Xenopus tropicalis: one gene and its partner. The protein of the gene in region 1 purifies or fractionates together with the protein of each later gene. This does not show direct contact. Links are inferred from orthologs where the notes say so. Each region holds a gene or a part of one and is shown on either strand. Other genes may lie near its edges.

Region 1 (12,682 bases):
TGGCAGGTATGGGTACAGCGCCGGTTATTACAGACTATAAAGTCAGTATATTCTAGTGTAAGAATTAGTGGTTTATCCTCTGCAAATTCAGCTAAAGTTTCATTTATCGGATGGGGGGGGCACTTGTGGGTATATCTGCCCCTGTATTTATTACATTGTCATCTTCTGTACCATGGGATATACCTGCCCCACTTGCACCTCAGCCTTTGTAAATAACCCCTTATATGCCTTTCATTCAGCGACATAAATATCTCAGTGACCCTATGCAGCCGGGGTTAAAGGGCAAGTTAAGCCAAAAGCGTATTCTCCCATAATCACTTCAGTCTGGATGAGGCCTTTACCTTGTGTTGCTCCAGGTCCTACTGGGTTTGCCTGTTAGTGACCAGCACACGGTGGGACCGGACGTGGCCCCCCAATAAAGATTCCTATACGGGGCCCAATCGTCAGCTTCTCAGGGCCCCTGTATCTCACAACGCTACACACAGGGCACAACCTTTCTTGTTTCATTCATTGTGGGGCTTAAGTTGCCCTTTAACCCTTTTCTGCCCATAAAGCAGCGACATTTGGGCCAGACCACAAAGCACTGTGCCACACTGGCGTGGGACCCGCCATTCACTATAAGGCTACACACACACGGAGCCATTTTATGCCCAAAGCGCTTCAACCCCGTGTGTATGAGCCCCAAGTACAAGCCATCTCTGCGCAGACAATCCGCCTCCTGAGCAAACTGCGAGCATTATTATATATTATATCATATTTATACTGCTACAAATATTTAGGAATTCGTATTTTTTGTAACCTTAGAGCTGTGCTGCCTGCGCTCCTTAAAGGGCCAGTACCTCAATATGCGCAACAAGCTGCATGAACTAAACCATTCGCTGCCTTTACCTCATTCAGATCAGCCAATCAAATTGTAGAACACATTCAGCAGCGGCGCACAGCGATGATGTGTTTCCTATAGGTGGGAAAGGTACTGGGGCTGGGGGGGGGGGGCAAATAGCAAGGGAGGGCACCCCGACACCTCTTTATTTGTTTGATATAATTATATATGTGTATAATGTGCCCTTTGTCTTTGTGGCAAGTTTATTTCTAATAAAGCAAACTTTTAAACTACATGTGTGAAACCTGTGTGTATCGACCGCCCCACCCACCCACCCACCCACTCACCCACCAACTCACCCACTCACTCACCCACCCACCCACTCACTCCCCCCCCCACCCACTCACTCACCCACCCACTGTATTAATTAGGGTCTTCTCTGGGACCAGCATAGCAGCCTTACTCACTGCCACCTCCATAATAGTACAGAAGGAGAAAATCTAATTAATACTGAGAACACCGGGTCATATTCATAAGAGAACTCTGAGTATCACTCATGTATTATAAGGGACAATGTACCCCCTACTGTAAATGATAAGGATATTAGCAGTCACTGAGGGGTTCTGTGCCCCCCATATAAAGGCACAAGGCTGCAGGCTGAGTTATACAGGGAACTCTGAGTATCACTCATGTATTATAAGGGATAATGTACCCCCTACTGTAAATGATAAGGATATTAGCAGTCACTGAGGGGTTCTGTGCCCCCCATATAAAGGCACAAGGCTGCAGGCTGAGTTATACAGGGAACTCTGAGTATCACTCATGATAGAATCAGAGAGTTTATTGTATGGCCCCTTATATATTTATATATAGTGACCCCCCCCCCTTAACTGCCCCCCCCCCCAGTGTAACCAATCCCAACTGGGCCAGCCTTTCCCCATAACTGAGCCCATTCCCTTTATCAGCTTAGTCGCTCTTCCCTGTACTTTCTCTATTTCATTACTGCCCCCCCCCTTATATATTTATATATAGTGACCCCCCCTTAACTGCCCCCCCCCCCGTGTAACCAATCCCAACTGGGCCAGCCTTTCCCCATAACTGAGCCCATTCCCTTTATCAGCTTAGTCGCTCTTCCCTGTACTTTCTCTATTTCATTACTGCCCCCCCTTATATATTTATATATAGTGACCCCCCCTTAACTGCCCCTTCCCCAGTGTAACCAATCCCAACTGGGCCAGCCTTTCCCCATAACTGAGCCCATTCCCTTTATCAGCTTAGTCGCTCTTCCCTGTACTTTCTCTATTCATTACTGCCCCCCCCCTTATATATTTATATATAGTGACCCCCCCTTAACTGCCCCCCCCCCCCGTGTAACCAATCCCAACTGGGCCAGCCTTTCCCCATAACTGAGCCCATTCCCTTTATCAGCTTAGTCGCTCTTCCCTGTACTTTCTCTATTTCATTACTGCCCCCCCCTTATATATTTATATATAGTGACCCCCCCTTAACTGCCCCCCCCCCCCGTGTAACCAATCCCAACTGGGCCAGCCTTTCCCCATAACTGAGCCCATTCCCTTTATCAGCTTAGTCGCTCTTCCCTGTACTTTCTCTATTTCATTACTGCCCCCCCCCTTATATATTTATATATAGTGACCCCCCCTTAACTGCCCCCCCCCCCCGTGTAACCAATCCCAACTGGGCCAGCCTTTCCCCATAACTGAGCCCATTCCCTTTATCAGCTTAGTCGCTCTTCCCTGTACTTTCTCTATTTCATTACTGCCCCCCCCTTATATATTTATATATAGTGACCCCCCCTTAACTGCCCCCCCCCCAGTGTAACCAATCCCAACTGGGCCAGCCTTTCCCCATAACTGAGCCCATTCCCTTTATCAGCTTAGTCGCTCTTCCCTGTACTTTCTCTATTTCATTACTGCCCCCCCTTATATATTTATATATAGTGACCCCCCCTTAACTGCCCCCCCCCCAGTGTAACCAATCCCAACTGGGCCAGCCTTTCCCCATAACTGAGCCCATTCCCTTTATCAACTCAGTCGCTCTTCCCTGTACTTTCTCTATTTCATTACTGCCCCCCCCCTTATATATTTATATATAGTGACCCCCCCTTAACTGCCCCCCCCCCAGTGTAACCAATCCCAACTGGGCCAGCCTTTCCCCATAACTGAGCCCATTCCCTTTATCAGCTTAGTCGCTCTTCCCTGTACTTTCTCTATTTCATTACTGCCCCCCCCCTTATATATTTATATATAGTGACCCCCCACCTTAACTGCCCCCCCCCCAGTGTAACCAATCCCAACTGGGCCAGCCTTTCCCCATAACTGAGCCCATTCCCTTTATCAACTCAGTCGCTCTTCCCTGTACTTTGTTTACAGAAAGTTTGAAATAAAAACATTTATATTGGGAACATTTTATGTGACATTTCAGCCCCCCCCCAATGAGCCCATAATGCCCCTCACAAGCGTCAGTCTCACAGTTCAGCTTGGGGGGCCCCACTGTGCCCAGCCCGGTGCCATACAGGGCAAGTTGTTTCCCAGTCGCACGCTGTGGGGCAATTAATATGGGAGGAAGTGAGAGCAGACTGTGACATTTAGATGGGGGGGAGTAATGAAAGGGCTGCAGCTCTCAGCATGTCCCCCCCAGGCTGGGCCCAGAGACACAGGAACCCCCCGCCATGGGGAGAGCTGGCAGCTCCGGCCGGTCGTGACGATGAGGAGAAATTCCCTATTTCAGCTCTGTGGGTCACTCATGAAATAATAACTGGGGGGGGGGGGGATCGGCAGGAACATCAGCGAGTGAAAGAGCTGAATATAAAGACACAGAGCAGAACCAGCGCCTCCGATACCGACTGGGTTCTTGGCTGGCGCAGGAGTGAATACCAAGTAGATTTGCCCCTCCTAATGCAACTGGACCTTGTGTTCCGTCCAACTGGGCCAGCCTTTCCCCCTAACTGAGCCCCTTATATATTTATATATAGTGACCCCCCCTTAACTGCCCCTTCCCCAGTGTAACCAATCCCAACTGGGCCAGCCTTTCCCCATAACTGAGCCCATTCCCTTTATCAGCTTAGTCGCTCTTCCCTGTACTTTCTCTATTTCATTACTGCCCCCCCTTATATATTTATATATAGTGACCCCCCCCTTAACTGCCCCTTCCCCAGTGTAACCAATCCCAACTGGGCCAGCCTTTCCCCATAACTGAGCCCATTCCCTTTATCAGCTTAGTCGCTCTTCCCTGTACTTTCTCTATTTCATTACTGCCCCCCTTATATATTTATATATAGTGACCCCCCCCTTAACTGCCCCTTCCCCAGTGTAACCAATCCCAACTGGGCCAGCCTTTCCCCATAACTGAGCCCATTCCCTTTATCAGCTTAGTCGCTCTTCCCTGTACTTTCTCTATTTCATTACTGCCCCCCCTTATATATTTATATATAGTGACCCCCCCTTAACTGCCCCTTCCCCAGTGTAACCAATCCCAACTGGGCCAGCCTTTCCCCATAACTGAGCCCATTCCCTTTATCAGCTTAGTCGCTCTTCCCTGTACTTTCTCTATTTCATTACTGCCCCCCTTATATATTTATATATAGTGACCCCCCCTTAACTGCCCCTTCCCCAGTGTAACCAATCCCAACTGGGCCAGCCTTTCCCCATAACTGAGCCCATTCCCTTTATCAGCTTAGTCGCTCTTCCCTGTACTTTCTCTATTTCATTACTGCCCCCCCTTATATATTTATATATAGTGACCCCCCCCTTAACTGCCCCTTCCCCAGTGTAACCAATCCCAACTGGGCCAGCCTTTCCCCATAACTGAGCCCATTCCCTTTATCAGCTTAGTCGCTCTTCCCTGTACTTTCTCTATTTCATTACTGCCCCCCCTTATATATTTATATATAGTGACCCCCCCCCCTTAACTGCCCCTTCCCCAGTGTAACCAATCCCAACTGGGCCAGCCTTTCCCCATAACTGAGCCCATTCCCTTTATCAGCTTAGTCGCTCTTCCCTGTACTTTCTCTATTTCATTACTGCCCCCCCTTATATATTTATATATAGTGACCCCCCCTTAACTGCCCCTTCCCCAGTGTAACCAATCCCAACTGGGCCAGCCTTTCCCCATAACTGAGCCCATTCCCTTTATCAGCTTAGTCGCTCTTCCCTGTACTTTCTCTATTTCATTACTGCCCCCCCTTATATATAGTGACCCCCCCTTAACTGCCCCCCCCCCAGTGTAACCAATCCCAACTGGGCCAGCCTTTCCCCATAACTGAGCCCATTCCCTTTATCAGCTTAGTCGCTCTTCCCTGTACTTTCTCTATTTCATTACTGCCCCCCCTTATATATTTATATATAGTGACCCCCGCCCCTTAACTGCCCCTTCCCCAGTGTAACCAATCCCAACTGGGCCAGCCTTTCCCCATAACTGAGCCCATTCCCTTTATATATATTATTATATTTTGCTGTTTCAGTGAATATGAATGGTATGAATTCTCGGCTCGTTACAGAAGAAGCACTAAAGCCCCCGAGTGGGGGGAGAGGGAAGACAAACAGGGGCAGGTGGGCCGGGGGGGGCGCCTCGTGGGGCGAATGGAATGAGTCAGTCACTGACAAATTGGAGAGAAGATTTTCTCATCGTGTTGCCATGGAAACACAGTCCAACTGGAGAGGGTCGGCCTCGCTGGAACAGAAAAATCAATATTAGTCAGCGAAAACCACAGAATAATCGTCATGTAGTGTGTGTGCCGCGGCAACCGGGTCACATGGAGCGGCCGCTGGGTCTGACACGTGCGCAGCCTCCATAATGGGCTCCATGGAAATGATTCTGTCCTATGGGAACAAGTTACGTTACAATTTACGCAATGTACGTAACTAAAAGAAAACTACGTAACTTGTGTATCAAGCAAAAGCCAATGCGGCGACAAACCCCACTGCCCCCCAATGTACCGACTTATTAGCACATTCATTATTTTTGCTGTTTTTATGAACTTCTCCTCAGGTTATTGGGCCCCTAAACTGACCCAGTGCAGCGCAGGGGCAGGTAGTGGGAAGGGGTTAACTGATCCCCAATAAACAGAGTGACTATATAAATAACTTGTATGGGGCCCCAAAGTCTCTCACAGTGTCCCTGTTAGTACATAAAGGTAAGAGAAAAGCAAGTGCAACATTTTACAAAGCCAAGGTGTGACCGATATCATTACAAAGTGGTACTGAGTCCAACTGCACTGCCTGCTGCACATGGAGAGCAGATAGTGGCAACTATACACTTTGGGTGTGGCTGGGGGGGGGTAACTGGGTGCCAGCAGGTGTATGGGGGGCACTGACCCAGGACCTCAGTGTTGCCCAGTGAGCTTGCATCCTGCTGCCCCCCCAGCTCTCACTAAACTCCCACAAGTGTAACTTAGGAGCAAATCACAGTCTCTGTGTCTGAGTTATTGGGGTTCTGTCTCCCCTGTGTCTGTTCCTGGCTGCAGATGCGCAACCTATTTATTTCTATTCAGTCCCGGAACCATAGTGTCCCTCCTCCAGACTCCGGGCGGAAAGAAACGGGCGATGCACTCCTACCCGGAAGTGGGGCGGAAGTGGGGCAGCGTCTTGTGATGCCAGTAGTCAGCAGATCTATTACGTGAGCTGTAGGTCCGGTTGTGATGATGGCTCGGTACTGGGCACTCCTGGGGATCGCGTTGGTTCTGCTGGCGGTGGCTGTGCAGGGAGGGGCTGGGGATAAGGTGAGTCCGGCCTTTCATTTGTCTCTTCCACTGTCAGCTGGGGGGGCCGGGTAATCATGGGACTGGGGAAGGGGGGTCAGGATGTGGGGAATAGGTTGGAGTCACTGGGGGGGGGGTCAGAGGAATTTGGGATTAGGTTGGAGTGGGTGGGGGTAAATTTGGAGTCAATGGGGGGGTCAATGGATGTGGGGGTCAGTTTGGAGTGAGTGGGGGTCAGTGGAGGTGGGGGTAATTTTGGAGTCAGTGGGTGGGGGATCAGTGGGTGAGTGGGGGTCAGTTTGGAGTCAATGGGTGGGGGGGGGATCAGTGGATGTGGGGGTCAGTTTGGAGTCAATGGGTGGGGGGGGACGGTGGATGTGGGGGTCAGTTTGGAGTCAGTGATTGGGTGGGGGTCAGTTTGGAGTCAGTGGGTGAATGGAGGTAAGTTTGGAGTCAGTGGGTGGGGGGGGGGGATCAGTGGATGTGGGGGTCAGTTTGGAGTCAGTGGGTGGGGGTCAGTTTGGAGTCAGTGGGTGGGGGTCAGTTTGGAGTCAGTGGGTGGGGGTCAGAGGAGTTTGGGGGGTGCAAAGTGTAGGGGTCCATGAATAATTGTAGGAATCAGTAGGGAAGAGAGTTGGCAGAAAGTGTGGGGGGGTCACTGGGGGCAGTTAGTGACAGTCCCACATATTTGGGACTGAGGAAGAGACAGCGCAGAGCTAAAAAGGGCAAGATGTTTCCCCAACTGCTTCTAAAGTGCAGGGAAATCAGCACAAAACCTGCAGCCAATCAGGCGCCCACAGTCCAGCTGGGAACTTGGTTCTCCCAGAAGCCCTGACCAACTGCAGGGCTGTAAGTACACCCATTGAATCCACATGCTGCGCCGGTAATTAGCAATTTGGTGTAATATGTGTAACAGTATAACCTTCCCCCTGTATCTTTCCCTGTGTGTAATGAGATCGCTGCAGAGCCTCTTGCCGACGGGGCAAATAGAAATCTGTGCTGTGTTGCAGGATACTGGGAGCTCGGTGGACGCCCGGTGCAAGTGTATTTGCCCCCCCTACAAGGATAAGAAAGGGAACATCTTCAACAAGAACGTGACCCAAAAAGACTGGTAAGGGCTGTTTCATTCGTTTGGGGCTCGTCCCATATTGTGGGGGCGGAGCTTCTCTGCAGGGGAATGTAAATGGGGTGCACAAGTTACCCACATGCCTCAGTATGAATATCTGTATATTGTTCTGCATAGCGACTGTCTCCATGTGGTGGACCCTATGCCAGTCCCGGGGGCCGACGTCGAGGCCTACTGTCTGCGCTGTGAGTGTAAATACGAAGAGAGAAGTTCTTCCACCATCAAGGTAATGCTCCTCCCCCATCAAGGTAATGCTCCTCCCCATCAAGGTAACGCCCCGCCCCCCTTTCCTATAGGTAATAACGGGCCTGGAAATATATTCTGTCCGACTCCAGAACCAGCTCCAAACAGGGAGGAAACAATAAGCATTTGAGAAGCTTAAATTAACTTTCAATAAGACAATTTCAATTGGTCTTTGTTTTTCTATTTTTGATGTTTTTTCAGTTATTTAGGTTTTTGTTCAGCAGCCCTCCATTTGGTATTTTAGCAGCTATCTGGTTGTTAGGGTCCTTTTACCCTAGTAACCAGGCAGCGGTTTAAACAAGAGATGGGAATATGAATAGGGGAGGGGCTGCATAGAAAGATAAGTAATTAACATTAACAAAAACAATAAAACTATAGAAAATGAAGAAGCTGGATATTCGGTTACTGACTTTCCCATCTGCCATTGCCCAGGTGACCATTATAATCTACCTGTCCGTGTTGGGGATGCTCCTCCTCTACATGTTCTACCTGACCATAGTGGAGCCCATGTTGAAGAGGAAGCTCTTTGGTCATTCTCAGCTCATACAGAGTGAAGATGAAGTTGGGGTAAGTGTCAGCTCTGTAGCAGTCTTGGTAATTAGACCTGCCAATCATCCACTGCTGGGTACCGCCCCATCTGTTGCTTCCATACAGCTTATTGTGTGCCCAGAACATTCCTTCTCTGTATATTTGTATTTATACATATGGGTAGGAGGTGCCATAGTGTTTCCCTTAGACAGTACAGTATGGGGGTACAGCTTATTGTGTGCCCAGAACATTCCTTCTCTGTATATTTGTATTTATACATATGGGTAGGGGGTGCCATAGTGTTTCCCTTAGACAGTACAGTATGGGGGTACAGCTTATTGTGTGCCCAGAACATTCCTTCTCTGTATATTTGTATTTATACATATGGGTAGGGGGTGCCATAGTGTTTCCCTTAGACAGTACAGTATGGGGGTACAGCTTATTGTGTGCCCAGAACATTCCTTCTCTGTATATTTGTATTTATACATATGGGTAGGGGGTGCCATAGTGTTTCCCTTAGACAGTACAGTATGGGGGTACAGCTTATTGTGTGCCCAGAACATTCCTTCTCTGTATATTTGTATTTATACATATGGGTAGGGGGTGCCATAGTGTTTCCCTTAGACAGTACAGTATGGGGGTGGAGCTTATTGTGTGCCCAGAACATTCCCTCTCTGTATATTTGTATTTATTCATATGGGTAGGGGGTGCCATAGTGTTTCCCTTAGACAGTACAGTATGGGGGTACAGCTTATTGTGTGCCCAGAACATTCCTTCTCTGTATATTTGTATTTATACATATGGGTAGGGGGTGCCATAGTGTTTCCCTTAGACAGTACAGTATGGGGGTACAGCTTATTGTGTGCCCAGAACATTCCCTCTCTGTATATTTGGGGGGGGGGTGCCATAGTGTTTCCCTTAGACAGTACAGTATGGGGGTACAGCTTATTGTGTGCCCAGAACATTCCCTCTCTGTATATTTGTATTTATACATATGGGTAGGGGGTGCCATAGTGTTTCCCTTAGACAGTACAGTATGGGGGTACAGCTTATTGTGTGCCCAGAACATTCCCTCTCTGTATATTTGGGGGGGGGGGGTGCCATAGTGTTTCCCTTAGACAGTACAGTATGGGGGTACAGCTTATTGTGTGCCCAGAACATTCCCTCTCTGTATATTTGTATTTATACATATGGGTAGGGGGTGCCATAGTGTTTCCCTTAGACAGTACAGTATGGGGGTACAGCTTATTGTGTGCCCAGAACATTCCCTCTCTGTATATTTGTATTTATACATATGGGTAGGGGGTGCCATAGTGTTTCCCTTAGACAGTACAGTATGGGGGTACAGCTTATTGTGTGCCCAGAACATTCCCTCTCTGTATATTTGGGGGGGGGGTGCCATAGTGTTTCCCTTAGACAGTACAGTATGGGGGTACAGCTTATTGTGTGCCCAGAACATTCCCTCTCTGTATATTTGTATTTATACATATGGGTAGGGGGTGCCATAGTGTTTCCCTTAGACAGTACAGTATGGGGGTGGAGCTTATTGTGTGCCCAGAACATTCCCTTCTCTGTATATTTGTATTTATACATATGGGTAGGAGGTACCATAGTGTTTCCCTTAGACAGTACAGTATGGGGGTACAGCTTATTGTGTGCCCAGAACATTCCTTCTCTGTATATTTGTATTTATACATATGGGTAGGGGGTGCCATAGTGTTTCCCTTAGACAGTACAGTATGGGGGTACAGCTTATTGTGTGCCCAGAACATTCCCTCTCTGTATATTTGTATTTATACATATGGGTAGGGGGTGCCATAGTGTTTCCCTTAGACAGTACAGTATGGGGGTACAGCTTATTGTGTGCCCAGAGCATTCCCTCTCTGTATATTTGTATTTATACATATGGGTAGGGGGTGCCATAGTGTTTCCCTTAGACAGTACAGTATGGGGGTACAGCTTATTGTGTGCCCAGAACATTCCCTCTCTGTATATCTGGATAGAGTTTGGGTTTGTTAATGATTGAATATATCAGATAACCAATAATCTGGTGTGTGTGTTTCCAAAGCAGCGCTGATCCCGCTCTCTGTATTTACCATAATCACACAGAGCCATTGTGCAGACTATTAGCTAAATATCAGGAATATTTCCTGCTTTTCTCAGTGCTGGGGGGGGATCGTGGATATTTATTTGTCCTGTTCTGTCTCAGCGCAGTCAGTAATTGTATAATGGAAATCGCAGCATTGCGCCGGGACGTGCCGTTCCTAATAACAGCCGGGGGGGGGGGGGGGGGGTATAATTAGGGGCTTCTTAATCAGTGTCCTCGGCCTTCAGTTACTCCTGTTTGCATTCAGCCTTATTAGGGACTAATTAGTCTTAAATGAAAAGACTCGAGGAGAATCAGATTGAAATGAATGCCTGGATGTACAGCTTGTAATGTCAGGGCAGAGACAGGTGTCCCAGGGTGCTCTAGGGAAAGGGTTTCCTTTATTATTATGGTGTGTTAACCCTTTGCTTGCCAGCAGTCTTTGATTTCGATGGTTTGTTAGTAAGCACACAATGTGCCATAAAGCAGGGCAGGACTGCTGCTTACAATGGGGGGATCAGATAGGATCTGTGCCACTGTGACAGAATGCTCTGTTATACAGATAGCTAGAATCTCAGCCATAAAGCAGGGCAGGACTGCTGCTTACAATGGGGGGGATCAGATAGGATCTGTGCCACTGTGACAGAATGCTCTGTTATACAGATAGCTAGAATCTCAGCCATAAAGCAGGGCAGGACTGCTGCTTACAATGGGGGGATCAGATAGGATCTGTGCCACTGTGACAGAATGCTCTGTTATACAGATAGCTAGAATCTCAGCCATAAAGCAGGGCAGGACTGCTGCTTACAATGGGGGGGATCAGATAGGATCTGTGCCACTGTGACAGAATGCTCTGTTATACAGATAGCTAGAATCTCAGCCATAAAGCAGGGCAGGACTGCTGCTTACAATGGGGGGGATCAGATAGGATCTGTGCCACTGTGACAGAATGCTCTGTTATACAGATAGCTAGAATCTCAGCCATAAAGCAGGGCAGGACTGCTGCTTACAATGGGGGGATCAGATAGGATCTGTGCCACTGTGACAGAATGCTCTGTTATACAGATAGCTAGAATCTCAGCCATAAAGCAGGGCAGGACTGCTGCTTACAATGGGGGGATCAGATAGGATCTGTGCCACTGTGACAGAATGCTCTGTTATACAGATAGCTAGAATCTCAGCCATAAAGCAGGGCAGGACTGCTGCTTACAATGGGGGGGGGGGATCAGATAGGATCTGTGCCACTGTGACAGAATGCTCTGTTATACAGATAGCTAGAATCTCAGCCATAAAGCAGGGCAGGACTGCTGCTTACAATGGGGGGATCAGATAGGATCTGTGTCACTGTGACAGAATGCTCTGTTATACAGATAGCTAGAATCTCAGCCATAAAGCAGGGCAGGACTGCTGCTTACAATGGGGGGATCAGATAGGATCTGTGCCACTGTGGCAGAATGCTCTGTTATACAGATAGCTAGAATCTCAGCCATAAAGCAGGGCAGGACTGCTGCTTACAATGGGGGGATCAGATAGGATCTGTGCCACTGTGACAGAATGCTCTGTTATACAGATAGCTAGAATCTCAGCCATAAAGCAGGGCAGGACTGCTGCTTACAATGGGGGGGATCAGATAGGATCTGTGCCACTGTGACAGAATGCTCTGTTATACAGATAGCTAGAATCTCAGCCATAAAGCAGGGCAGGACTGCTGCTTACAATGGGGGGATCAGATAGGATCTGTGCCACTGTGACAGAATGCTCTGTTATACAGATAGCTAGAATCTCAGCCATAAAGCAGGGCAGGACTGCTGCTTACAATGGGGGGGATCAGATAGGATCTGTGCCACTGTGACAGAATGCTCTGTTATACAGATAGCTAGAATCTCAGCCATAAAGCAGGGCAGGACTGCTGCTTACAATGGGGGGATCAGATAGGATCTGTGCCACTGTGACAGAATGCTCTGTTATACAGATAGCTAGAATCTCAGCCATAAAGCAGGGCAGGACTGCTGCTTACAATGGGGGGATCAGATAGGATCTGTGCCACTGTGACAGAATGCTCTGTTATACAGATAGCTAGAATCTCAGCCATAAAGCAGGGCAGGACTGCTGCTTACAATGGGGGGGTGCCCCAGTAATACACACGGGGTCCCTATCCCACGC
Region 2 (12,491 bases), on another chromosome or scaffold:
AGAGCTACATTTATGACCCTGTTTGACAGTTCATGCCCTCAAATTATACCTTTAGAATGCCAGACTTGAAAGGGTATTTACAGCTATGGAAGGATGACGGAAGCCAATGTTTTCCTCCAGATGTCACTGAATTTCAACTCCCAGCATGTTGCTTGTTGTAGTTAGATTATGTCAGGTACGTTTCTGGTTAAAGGTCCCCATACACGGGCCAGTTCTAGCTGCCGATATCGGTCCCTTAGACTGATTCGGCAGCTAATCGGCCCGTGTATAGGCACTACCAACGGGCCTGCCCGACCGATATCTGGCCTGAAATTGGGCAGATCTTGATCGGGCAGGTTAGAAAATCTAGTCTGATCGGGGACCGCATTGGCTCGTTGATGCGGTCTCCAAACCTACTGCCCCATTGCCGCCAATATAATTCGCCTACACGCTCCCCGATATTGCTCACTCGTAAGGTGGGGATATTGGGTGAAGATCCGCTCGCTTGGCGACCTCGCCAAGTGAGCGAATATTAACTTGTATGGGCACCTTTAGGACCAGTTTAAGATATGCTTTGCTGATTACTGTTAGTCTGTGGGTATACTTTCCCTTTAATGGAAATACAATGTTGTTTTGAGACTGCCAGGCACCTAATCATTTGCAAAGAGTTGATTTCCAAAGTCTGAGCAGCCAGGTGGGGGCAGAAAGGAATTGGGTGCTGCCTGTCTGCATCTGCCCTACCTGAAAGCTTAGTGATAGTTTGGCAATGACTTTGCGGCCCTAGGCACTTACATAACTTGCACAGAACTGGGCCTCTTCCAACAGCGCCGATCTCACGACGCACATTACCTGCCGTCATGGAAACAGGGATGGGTTTCCTGTGCTGGAAAGGTGTTTGCTAAGGAATAGTAATATAGTTTCCGAACTTCCCAGTATGCCCAAAAGGCAGCACTGATGCTGGTAAGCTGGGAGTTGTAGTTCTAGTTGGGAGGCAATAGCAGTGCTGTTTGGGATAGCTGGGTCACAGGGGAATGCTCTGGCAGTGCACCATTCAAAGGAAGCTCAACATTGCTATAACACAGCAAGAAGTGAAGGGTGCAAGGGATAATTGCTTCCCCCATCCTGAAAAATCACTACAGATAGATAATATTCTATCCAGGGCCTGAAAGGGATGTATGGCTAAATATTACAGCATGTGCTATATAAAACCAATAGCCATCCAGCCTTTCATAACACCAATTCCCAGCATGCTCTTCTAGCCATTAATGACTGGGATTGCTGGAGCTACAGCTCACTGTAGCCAAAGGGCTGTGCAGTTATACCTTCTTCACTGAAAAATAATATCCTGCCATAAGATGTATCAGGTTTCTTATTTCAATAATAAGACTTTTTTTTTTAGATTGTATTGTGTGTGTATTGTGTGTATTGTGTGCAGCCAGGGAGTTCCAACTTGTTGGGATTAGGTTTAAACAATGGCTGCTGTTGGTTATTAGGGTGTGATACTAATAAATAGAAAGGGGTGCTTAGTAATGCAGCATTATGATATATATAATGTTATGTTCCTGTGGTCCCCAGAGTTCTGGGTGTTCCCTGATGACCTAGAGAGACGCTATACATAACCCAGGGTTGGCCAGCACAATATATATATATATATATATATATGTGCAATCCAATATACATTATTTGTCTGTACCCCTCAGCTAATTGTATGCTCCAAGGAATCCTTTGTTCTGCTGCCGTAGGAATTGCTTGCAGTGTGTTTATTCAGCTGGATGGAGAGGAGGGTGCCCTTAGCACACCTGTTGTGTCAATAGTAATGCGTAGGTGGTTGCACGGCTGGGACAGGTTCCTAGGCATGCCTGCAGCTGGCACTTCATTCTAATACACAGCTTACTCACATGAACATGTCATAAGATATATATTTAAATATAATCACATAGGGCATATTTCAGCCCTGTGTGATATAGAGTATAAAGGGCCCCCCAATAACTTTAATTTAATTGGTTCATTACATTGTTGGCTGCTTAGAACTGTAGTTGTTGCTATGTAGCCATAACTGCTGTGCCAACATCCCAGGGTGCAGAATGCTGGCAGGGGCACAGTGCTGTGCAATGTGAGTCAGTAATGGGTTTGTTCCATTGTTGGCTGAGACAGCCATTAGATCTGGCCAGAGATTTCCTACTGTGTTTGCTTATTGCATAAGTGAGATACAGTATCTATCCCTGTGTGTACTGTGCACTCAATGACAGCCTAACAAAGAGTGAGTGCCAAGAATGCCCAGGCTGGGCTTCCTCTTATTAAACTCCATCACCCCCAATAAGAACAGCACAAGGAAAATAATGATTGGTTACCGGGTTACTGCTCCCAAGCAACATTTCTACCTCTTCTGATTCAAACAAGTCATGCGATTGTATATACCGGATGCCACCTATACATTATAGAGTGAATAATGTACCCCCTCTTCTAAAATATAAGGATACTATAAGGCACTGAGGAGTTCCATGATTTTATAAAGGTCATGGAGCTCCGAGATGTCTTCTAATATCCTCATATTTTATAACGGGGTTTCAGTGAGTCGGGATATATATTATATACTGCTATTTTTTTGGGCAGGGCCATTTTAGCCTCTTGTATTGGTTGTATGTTTTTATGTATGTTTAATATATGCAATTATTTATTGTGAATATATATATATATATATGTATGTATATATATATGTGTGTGTGTGTGAATTGCAAGCAGCATGGCACCCCAAAAAATAGATACACTGACAGTACAGGTATAGGATCCGTTATCCAGAAACCCATTATACAGGGTTACAGGAAGGCCATCTGCCTTAGACGCCATTTAATCAAATAATTACATTTTTTTTAAATTGGATTTCCTCTTTTGCTCTGTAATAATAAAATAGGATAATTAATCCTTATTGGAGGCAAATCAATCCTATTGGGTTTATTTAATGGTTAAATGATTCCCTTTTCTCTGTAATAATAAAACAGTACCTGTACTTGATCCCAACTAAGATATAATTACCCCTTATTGGGGGCAGAACAGCCCTATTGGGTTTATTTAATGGTTAAATGATTCCCTTTTCTCTGTAATAATAAAACAGTACCTGTACTTGATCCCAACTAAGATATAATTACCCCTTATTGGGGGCAGAACAGCCCTATTGGGTTTATTTCATGTTTAAATGATTCCCTTTTCTCTGTAATAATAAAACAGTACCTGTACTTGATCCCAACTAAGATATAATTACCCCTTATTGGGGGCAGATCAGCCCTATTGGGTTTATTTCATGGTTAAATGATTCCCTTTTCTCTGTAATAATAAAACAGTACCTGTACTTGATCCCAACTAAGATATAATTACCCCTTATTGGGGCAGAACAGCCCTATTGGGTTTATTTAGTGGTTAAATGATTCCCTTTTCTCTGTAATAATAAAACAGTACCTGTACTTGATCCCAACTAAGATATAATTACCCCTTATTGGAGGCAAATCAATCCTGTTGGGTTTATTTAATGTTTAATTGTTTATGTAGAGTCTTTAGAGACTCAAACTCTTTCTTGTGAATTTTGTTTTGCAGCTCTGATCAGATCCGACCTCAAAAGACATAATATAAATGCGGGAATCACAAAGTCAGAATTGAAATCTGTAAGTATTGATATTCTGTTGTTGTTATACCATGCACATAACACAACAGGGGTATTTAATAGAAGCCTAGGGCTAGGCATTTGATAGGCACTTTCTGACCTTGTGATCACAGTGCAGCAGGACATAAGCCCTTTTTTTCTCTCCCAATATTGTGCTTAGAGGCTACTGATCAGTTATAAAGAGGCTGATGTGTCAATTTCTATATCTATATGGGAAAAAAGCAGGGCAGTCACACTACCAGCAGACAGTCCGTGTCTCTGTGCAAGCAGAAGAGCTCCCAGCACAGGAACAGACAAAGCTACCACTGCCTGTAGCACATAAGCACTTTTTCTGCGCGGTATTCTGATTTTTTTAATTTAGTGCTTATACTAGGTAGATCCATGATACACATTATAATGGAGATGGGCATATAATATACACAGCCCAAAGACACCTTACATTTCAATTTACAGGTTTATTGCCTAATCATAAATTGTCCTGGCCTTATAACTAAATAAATTCAGTAGTAATGCTGTAAACTTACTGTACCAGTGCAGCGGCCCTATAGCAGTTACGATTCAGTCATTTACAGTTTTCCACAGCAGCACCCCATCTTGGATTTTGTTAGGCCATCATTTGTGTGTCAGTGGCACCGCACGTGCTCAGTGGGCTCTGGGGCTGCTGCTGACAAGCTAAGTTTAGTCAGTTCCTAAGCTTAAGTAAGTGACAGCAACACAGTGAACGTGCAGTTAATCATGAGAAAAAAGATGGGGGGCTGCTGGGGGCATCTACAGAGGCACAGATCACCCCTGCTAAAGGGCTGGGGTGGCCTTGGGCTGCTACAGAAGCACATCATTTTTACCCTGATTTTTGTTGAGGTTTCGTTCTCCCATAATAAGTTCTTCTTGCCCACCCTAATAGCTAAATAAAGATGCAACTTTACCCAAAAAGACACTAGAAAATGTACCTGTTTGCTGGAGTTCAATGATTGTCCATAAGCGCTACCCTTAGCTCTAAAGATGGCTTCTTCAGCTGCTGCTGCAGCTTCCTGGCATTACTGGGCATGTGGGGATAGCTACAATTAGAAAGGGTTACATTCCCAGGAAAATGGAATCCCTTCAGCAATCCTTGATGCACCAGGGGCCATCTTCAAATTAAGCCTCCCCTTTAAGGCCCACCGATTAGCCAGGGACCCCAATAGCTCATAACAAGTTACTGATCTTACAAAGCAATTGCTTATGTAGCTTTGGCTCCAAAAATATCTAGGACCTCAATCAAGTGTTGTAATGGAAGGTGGGCTTCAAGGGTAATCTAGGACAGAAAATACTCATTTTACCCAAAGTAGAACCCAAATTTTATGTTTCCCAGGGGAAACGGCATCAATTCCGGGAAAAAGTAAAATCCGGGAACATAAACTTGGGGTTGTGCTGCATGTCTCCTAGTGGCCAAAGTCTGCTCCTTGAGTGCGCTGATGTGGATGCCATTCTTGTCAGCGCTTACTGCCATAGGGCAGTTTGAAGTGAATTGGCATTTTCTAATGAAAAGGGGCTCAGTGTCTATATAAATTGTACCCAGCTCCTCCTTACCAGCATTTTATTGTATTAACAGGTCCCTGTGCAGGAAGAAGGTTTAACCATTGGAAGCACCCAGTCCTCCTCTGCCGTCTGAGAACAATGGTTCCTGTGGGGCGGCCCGAAGTGTGCGATACTGTAGCAATGAGGCAGCTCTAGCCAAGGCACCGCACTTACCGGTATATACCGCTGCTCATCATATTACATGAGGGTAATACCGTGACGCGAGGGAGCTGCTAACTACAGTGCTGCAGGGGAATTTGTATTGGACCGAGCACAGCAGGACATTTGGCCAGTTACGTGGGTTCTTTATCTGCCCATAAGCCTTCTTCATTGTTATTTTAGTCATTATATCCTTTTATATAGGTTTTTCAGTGGATATTTCTAGAGCAGGTAGTGATGCTCTAGGCAGATATTGGAAATTAAGCCAAATGGGTTGGGTAAAAAAAAAAAAAAAGGCTAATATATTATTTATGTTATGGCCCCTGTGGCTACCCAGTGGGTTATGAGTTGCCCATGACCTGTACATTTCAGTGACTGTTAAGGTGCTAGTATTTTAGTATCTTGACTGAGAAAAATGAATATGCACAAAGCTGGTAGATAGTAAAGCCTATGCCGTGTCTTCTGGGAGGAAGCGTAGGTCACATGACAACGTGCGGGGCTGATTATCTGGGCATCACCAATGGTAAAGGGCAGAAAGGAAACGTGCGCACTGTGAGGGGAAACTGTGTGCGTTTGGGCCACCCCCGGCGCGCTCGGATAACTGCTGATTTCAGTACATTCACTTAGATATATTGTCACCCTTTGTGATGTTCCACTGCTTTGGGGCAAAGGGCAATTACCTGGAATACAATCAATTGCAACTTACTGCACAAGACACACCAGCGGCATGTTAGCCGAGACACTCCTTCTTAGAGGCATTATGCAGACTCCCAGCACTGTCAGCTAGCCACGAGGGTAGAAAGGGTTGCTGGGAGTTTCAATGAAAGATTGCTTTAGCCTGGTTTAAGGTTTATCCAATCTCCGTGCAGTTTATCTGTAGGAATAAGGCAGTAACTGCAGGCTAAGGATAGATCTGCCCAATGTGTCCTGTTCCCTCTGCAAGTAGTGAGACATAACCCAGTGGGAGGTTCTGGGAGATGCAGGGGGGGTTGGGCCTAGCCAGAAAAACAAAAGGCCTCATTTACTAACATGGAGCAAACTGGCACCAGTGCAGTAACCCTTAGCAACCAAATCCTACTGTCATTGTTCTTCAGGCAGTATCCCAATAAAATGTTGATTGATTGCTACAGGTTAGTGCATTGGTCAGCTTTGGCCCAGTGTTAGTACCAAAAATAACCAATGAGAATGTTTGTAGTCAGCGCTTAGTGTCATCGTGTCTGAATATTTATTTAAATATTTATTTGTGAATATAGAGATATCCGGAACCGAGGGTCTGGGGATGCCGAACGGTAAAAGGGAATTGTATCTGTGTATTTTTTAGTCATTTAGGATTTTAGCTATTGTTTCTGATTATGGGTAAGATATTAGGGGACTAAGCAGTGAACAGATACACTACAGTTCCTATTGGTGAAATCGCATGACACAATCAGTGTGGTGTTGCACTATTGGCTGTACAGCCCATTTAGTCAGATGTCACATGTGGAGATTTCTCTCAGATTTGCTCATCCGAGCACTTGACATTATTTTTGTTTTTTTGCTTTCGTGACATTAGCAGTTTTAAATGCGTAATATCATGAACAAGAACACCACCCACTTCTGTTGTCCAGAAACGCAAGTTGCAGGAAGTGTCTCCTGATGCATTTCTGCTACAATCTGAACAATGTATATTCTGATATATTAAATGGTTTGTGAGTCTTGGTCTCTTAACAAAGGGGACATACAGCATATCAACCCACGTACATTAAAGGGGAACTCCACCTAAACACAACTTGAGCTTTTTAAAAAATAAACATAATTTCAAGTAACTTTGCAATATACATCAGTTAAAAAAATATGCAGCCTTTCCATGATTTTAATGTACGGTAATATGGTTTGGAACAGTTCCCTAAGCCCCGCCCCCTGTTCCCCTTCTGATCTGGCTGGCTACTTTGAGACTCAAATAAAACTCTATCCTCAGCCTGCATCCTTCAAATCCCACAATTCCCTGCACACATGATGTCAATAAGGCACAGTGCAATGCATTATGGGTTATGTTGTTCCTGCATGCTGTCTGTAAGCTGTGGAGAAGTTGTTACAATTTGTAACATCAGTTTTAGTCTCTCCTCCCCTGCCAGGATTTCAAATGATACAGAAAGAGAAGAACTGTTTTGCAGCTGGATTTCAGCATATAAAAATGGTATTTATTCCTACTTTTTGAAGGAACAGATTACAGGGATAGGGATATTAGGGGTTTCTGGGTTGTGTGGAGCTCAACAAAAAGCAGGAGTTCCCCTGTAATGTATATAAAATAATGTAAAGTGCTCAGAAGAGCACCCCGAGCAGCTTTACCTGATTAAATCAGTGGGTGCCTCTATGTCCCAAATCTATGCATGTGATTTTCACTATTCGTTGTGGGAAATGGAGGTTTTTATATGGAGCGTTTGTATCTCGGTCGTTATTTATTTTCCCTGAGTGTCAGATTTTCATTCTACAGTTTTTGTATACACAAACACACACACACACACATATATATATATATAATATATATAATGGCACACCACAAAGTATTGAATTTATGTGAAAAAATGTTTTTATAGTTTCTATTTTTTACATTTCTTGTAGATTTTGTACAAAAGACACTTGTGCTTTTATTATTATTATTATTTTTTTTTCTTAAAGAGACATGACACCTGCTTGTGTGGGTGGGCCCTATATTAAAGGCAGCTATGGTGGAGCTGGACCCTTAGAGAGGTCAGACACATTGCTTTATAGCTGCTACAAATCACTCAGTGGGTAGTTAGGCAAAGCACTAACCCCAGAACCCTTTCTCCAGCTGTTTGGATGTGTCGGCTACTACCTTAGGCTTTGCTTAGGGTTAGGGCATATAGCTTGTCTACAAGTAGCTTTTATCTCCCATTTAGTCATTTAAAGGGAAAGTAACACTTAAGAGGGGTTTGGTTTTAATTATAAATACAGTATATTGTCTGTGGAGCATTTTAGCAGCTGAAAGTTGCAACTTGGCCCTAGTGACAATGTATTCTGTGGATATGGTATGCACTGCATTGAAATGTGTTGTTATCGCTTTAAATCAGGGGCTGCCTCTCTTTAACTGTTGAAATATCTGCTAGGAGTTGTAGATAAGAAATATCCAGAGGGCCACACCCCTGCTTCCATTACCCTGTATGTGTATGTTCTGTGTGCATATAAGGGTCATTTACTGACCAAGCACAAGGCTTTATGCCTTTAAAGGAACAGTAACATTAAAAAACTACAGTGTATTGAAGTAATTAATATATTATGTACTACTGTACACATTCATTTTTTGGTGTTACTGCTCCTTTAAGCTGTTTTGCTACTACAGCAGCTTCTGGAGGATGCTGGGATTTGTGGCACAGTAAGAGCGGAAGGGGCTGCCGATTGGATATCGATGATAAAAGGAGCTTGCCGATTGCAGAGCTACCAGCCCCTCATAGGAGGAGTCTTAATATACAGTTCTTTTCTTCTGGATACAAATAGATTGTAAGCTCTGCAGGACAGGGACTTTTTCTGTGAAATATGCAGCATACACTTCTGTAGCCATATTAGATAGAGTAGAAATGACGCTAATCAGGGGGAAGAACTGCCTGTAATACAGAGTATAGGGGTATGTAGAATATTAAACACAGTTGGAGAACCAAAGTGCTTCTCGGCGTGCGTTGGCAATCACAGGGAATATACAGTACAGAAGTACAGAAATCCTTCCAGCCAGACAAAGGGCATCCCCTGCTATTTTGTATTTGTTTCTGGCACCATTTGAATCTTATTTAATTGTACAACAGCGCTATTTTTGTTACAGTTACTGCGCCGACAGCTCCAGGCTTAAACATCAGGTGGCGCTGTTGCTTTAGATCCATTATATTAGCAGTGTACAAACTCCTAATATCTTGAAAACTAGAATGAATGTAGTTTGAAATAAATAAAAAGTGCAAAAGTGCTCAGACGAGCAATTTTTACATTAATATGTGTTGAGGTTTTACATTTCCTTTAAACAAAGACCAGTTGTCTCCAGCAAGGAGCTGTCCTGGGTACAGAGCACTTCCTCCCTTGCAACTTTTATCACATTCCCCTTATGTCTTTTAAACAAGCTTAAAGGCAAAGTTAACCTTGACATGAACTTTTCGTGTCCCTGAAACATTTCCTCTGGAGCGAAGTACTCTTACATACCATAGTCTGACCTACCAGCCCCCAGTTCATTAGTGTTGTAACTGGAGCGACTGTAGATAAATGGAACATCCCAAGCAATATACCCCCCTGGTCCAATGTATTTTCTACTGACAGTGCATTTCTGTTTGCTGTAATTCTCTATATAATTATGTATATGGTAAATGCTGTGATATCTGTACAGGAAGGATGGGTGTGAATACTGTATAATGTTCTGTATCTGTCCTCCCCTCCTTTGTATCCTCCCCTCCTCTGTATCCTCCCCTCCTCTATATCCTCCCTTCCTCTGTATCCTCCCCTCCTCTGTATCCCCCCTCCTCTGTATCCCCCCCTCCTTCTCTATCCTCCCCTCCTCTGTATCCCCCCCTCCTCTGTATCCTCCCCTCCTCTGTATCCCCCCCTCCTCTGTATCCCTCCCTCCTCTTTACCCTCCATTCTCATGTCTGGGACCAATGCAACATTCATTACTGTCACTGTTACTCTCATCATCAATAAAAAATCATTCTGCCTCCACGTGTGTTCTGTGTGTACTATGATGGTTCCCATTACTGTTTATCTGAGGCTTTATGGGGGCATCGGCATCACTGGAACCCATTGGTATTGGGGGGTGGGGGGCAAGGGAGACTGCCAGGAACATAGCTGGGTACTACACCGAGCTTACTACATCAGCTGGACCCAGTATAGAACTCTGTGGCACCCTGCTAAGAATGCACCATTGACAAAATGCACCCCTACTGTCCAACATCCTACTTCATCATAAAAAGCAATTATATTTGTTTGACATGATCTGTCCTTCATAAATCCATGCTGATACCTACTCATAATACCATACTCCAGAACATACTCTTGAATATAATTCCTTAACAAACCTTCAAATAACTTGGCCACCACTCAAATATAAAAATATTTGGGATCAGTCTTTACAGGTAAAGCAATCATTTCCTAACTTTAAACATTTAAGTTGGAGATTTCAGGCAATAAAGAAAGCTTTAATATTCAATTTCCGGAAGGAAACGAAGGTATAATAGTTGAATACAAACAGGTTTAGACATAGCTGGTTCTGATGAGGGTGAAACTGATCTGTTTCCTTGATTATACACAGTCACCGGAGGAAAATAAACATAAAAGTATAACTACTGAGACATGACGAACTTTACTTGACTGTTGACTTAGTGTACTTTATCTCATTGTGAGCATATGGCTGCCCTTTGGAACAGATTCTTATTCTATAAGTGCCCCACAAGCACAAATTTGAGATATTCCAGTTAATAATGAACAAAACCAGCTGGCAAACATGATAAATACTAAATGCCTGTAGTTCATGGAATTGGTTTATGGTTAACAGTTACCGTATAGCAGTGGTTTTTGGACTTTTTCATGCAAGCCCTATCTGAGCTCCAAAATTTACTTGGGTTTAAAATGGTATCACAGACATATAAAAACATTGCTGTATCGGCCAAGGGGACATATACCCTCCTGTATAACAATGTACAGTTGCTCACAGTGCAACAGGAGTGCCCTGTGTAATACTTTTTGGCCAAGGTCCAGACAAAATATGGAAAGTTTCAGTTGCTGATGCAGGAAACCTCTCTGCTCAGGTCCCCTAGAATGATTTTATACATATGTTTATACATATTCCTTCCTTTAGTAATAGAAAAGCTGGTGGGGAAAGTTTGGAGGATGTGGAAGGAGGTTGGGTGACAGAAGATAACTCCTTCCTTTCTCCGGCAGCTCCGGTCCTAAATAGCAATAATTGGCTGGGGTGGCTCTGTTGCCATGGGGACAGCTTTCAAAGGTGGGGATGCTTGCTGGGGTTAATTTTGCATGGCGGCAGGGCCATGCAAAATTAACCCCAGCAAGCATCCCCACCTTTGAAAGCTGTCCCCATGGCAACAGAGCCACCCCTGAAACTGATTTCAGGTTGATCTTTCTGGAGTATCTAGGAAAGCAAAACAGGCTCCACAAATCTCACTGCCTTCTGGCTACCCCCCCAAAGTCATTTTATAGGCCCCCAGGGGGCCACTACATGGTTCTGAAAACACTGCAGTACCATGTCTCAGAGAATCATGGTAATCTCACACCTACAACCATAGGGCTATTGGAACATTGAGAAATATCTACAGCTATACCACCCTCGGCCAGTAGATGGCGATACATTGATCTATTCTGCTGCACTCGTTAGGCTAGTCTTTTCAAGGGCAAGCCTGTATAGTTATCAGCAATCCGTGTCAGCTAAAGGTGGCAATACACCTTCAGATCTGCTCGCTTGGCGATGTCGCCAAGTGAGCGGATCTTCTCCCGATATCCCCACCTACAGATGGGCGATATCGGAAGAATCCAGGCCCTGGGGCCAAACAATCAAATTATAACGACAGGTATAGGCAAAGTCGGTTCGGGGACCGCATCAATGAGCCAATGCAGTCCCCGATCCGACTAGATTTTTTAACCTGCCCGATCGATTTCAGGCCAGATATCGGTCGGGCAGGCCCATCGGTAGTGCCCCTACACGGGCAGATTAGCTGCCGAATCTGTCTAAGCACCCATATCGGCAGCTAGAATCGGCCCGTGTATGGGGGCCTTTAGGGTGAGCAGATAGCTGTGAGTTGTAGTGGTGGTTTCAAGCCTTCTCTTGGTAGTGCGTTATTTGATTATGCCCCCCCTTATCTCATTCCAAGTCATAGTCTCTAAAGTTCCAGGAATATCCAATATCCAAGATAGCATATAAGTATTTACCCCAGACTTTAAAGTAGCCATTTATCCCCTTTAATTCTGCAACTACTCTTAAATCTATGGTCCACAAGGCGTTGTTTTGACCAATAGGGCCCAGAGATCCATCCAGTCCTGGAATTGTTGTGACCTAATTTCTTTTTTGCACTTAATGGTAACATGAAATAAGGACATGGGGGTTGGTTGACATCTCTACAGACCACTTAGCAGTGATGGGACCCTAAGCAATAGTCTTAAA

Evidence for each region.
Region 2: the proteins of tmem9b (region 1) and flvcr1 purify together in Homo sapiens (co-immunoprecipitation; 3 studies listed by BioGRID and IntAct, counting the BioPlex papers as one, with this or other methods). This does not show direct contact. The link is inferred for Xenopus tropicalis from reciprocal best matches to the Homo sapiens genes TMEM9B and FLVCR1.

The regions. Positions count from the first base shown.
Region 1 is NC_030680.2:4,065,183-4,077,864, reverse strand, and holds the start of tmem9b (transmembrane protein 9B), read left to right. Parts: upstream 1-6,372; 5' UTR 6,373-6,476; coding exon 6,477-6,557; intron 6,558-7,546; coding exon 7,547-7,647; intron 7,648-7,779; coding exon 7,780-7,888; intron 7,889-8,337; coding exon 8,338-8,472; intron 8,473-12,682. UniProt on the Homo sapiens protein: Enhances production of pro-inflammatory cytokines induced by TNF, IL1B, and TLR ligands. Has a role in TNF activation of both the NF-kappaB and MAPK pathways.
Region 2 is NC_030681.2:14,316,151-14,328,641, reverse strand, and holds the end of flvcr1 (feline leukemia virus subgroup C receptor-related protein 1), read left to right. Parts: intron 1-3,567; coding exon 3,568-3,635; intron 3,636-5,222; coding exon 5,223-5,282; 3' UTR 5,283-6,549; downstream 6,550-12,491.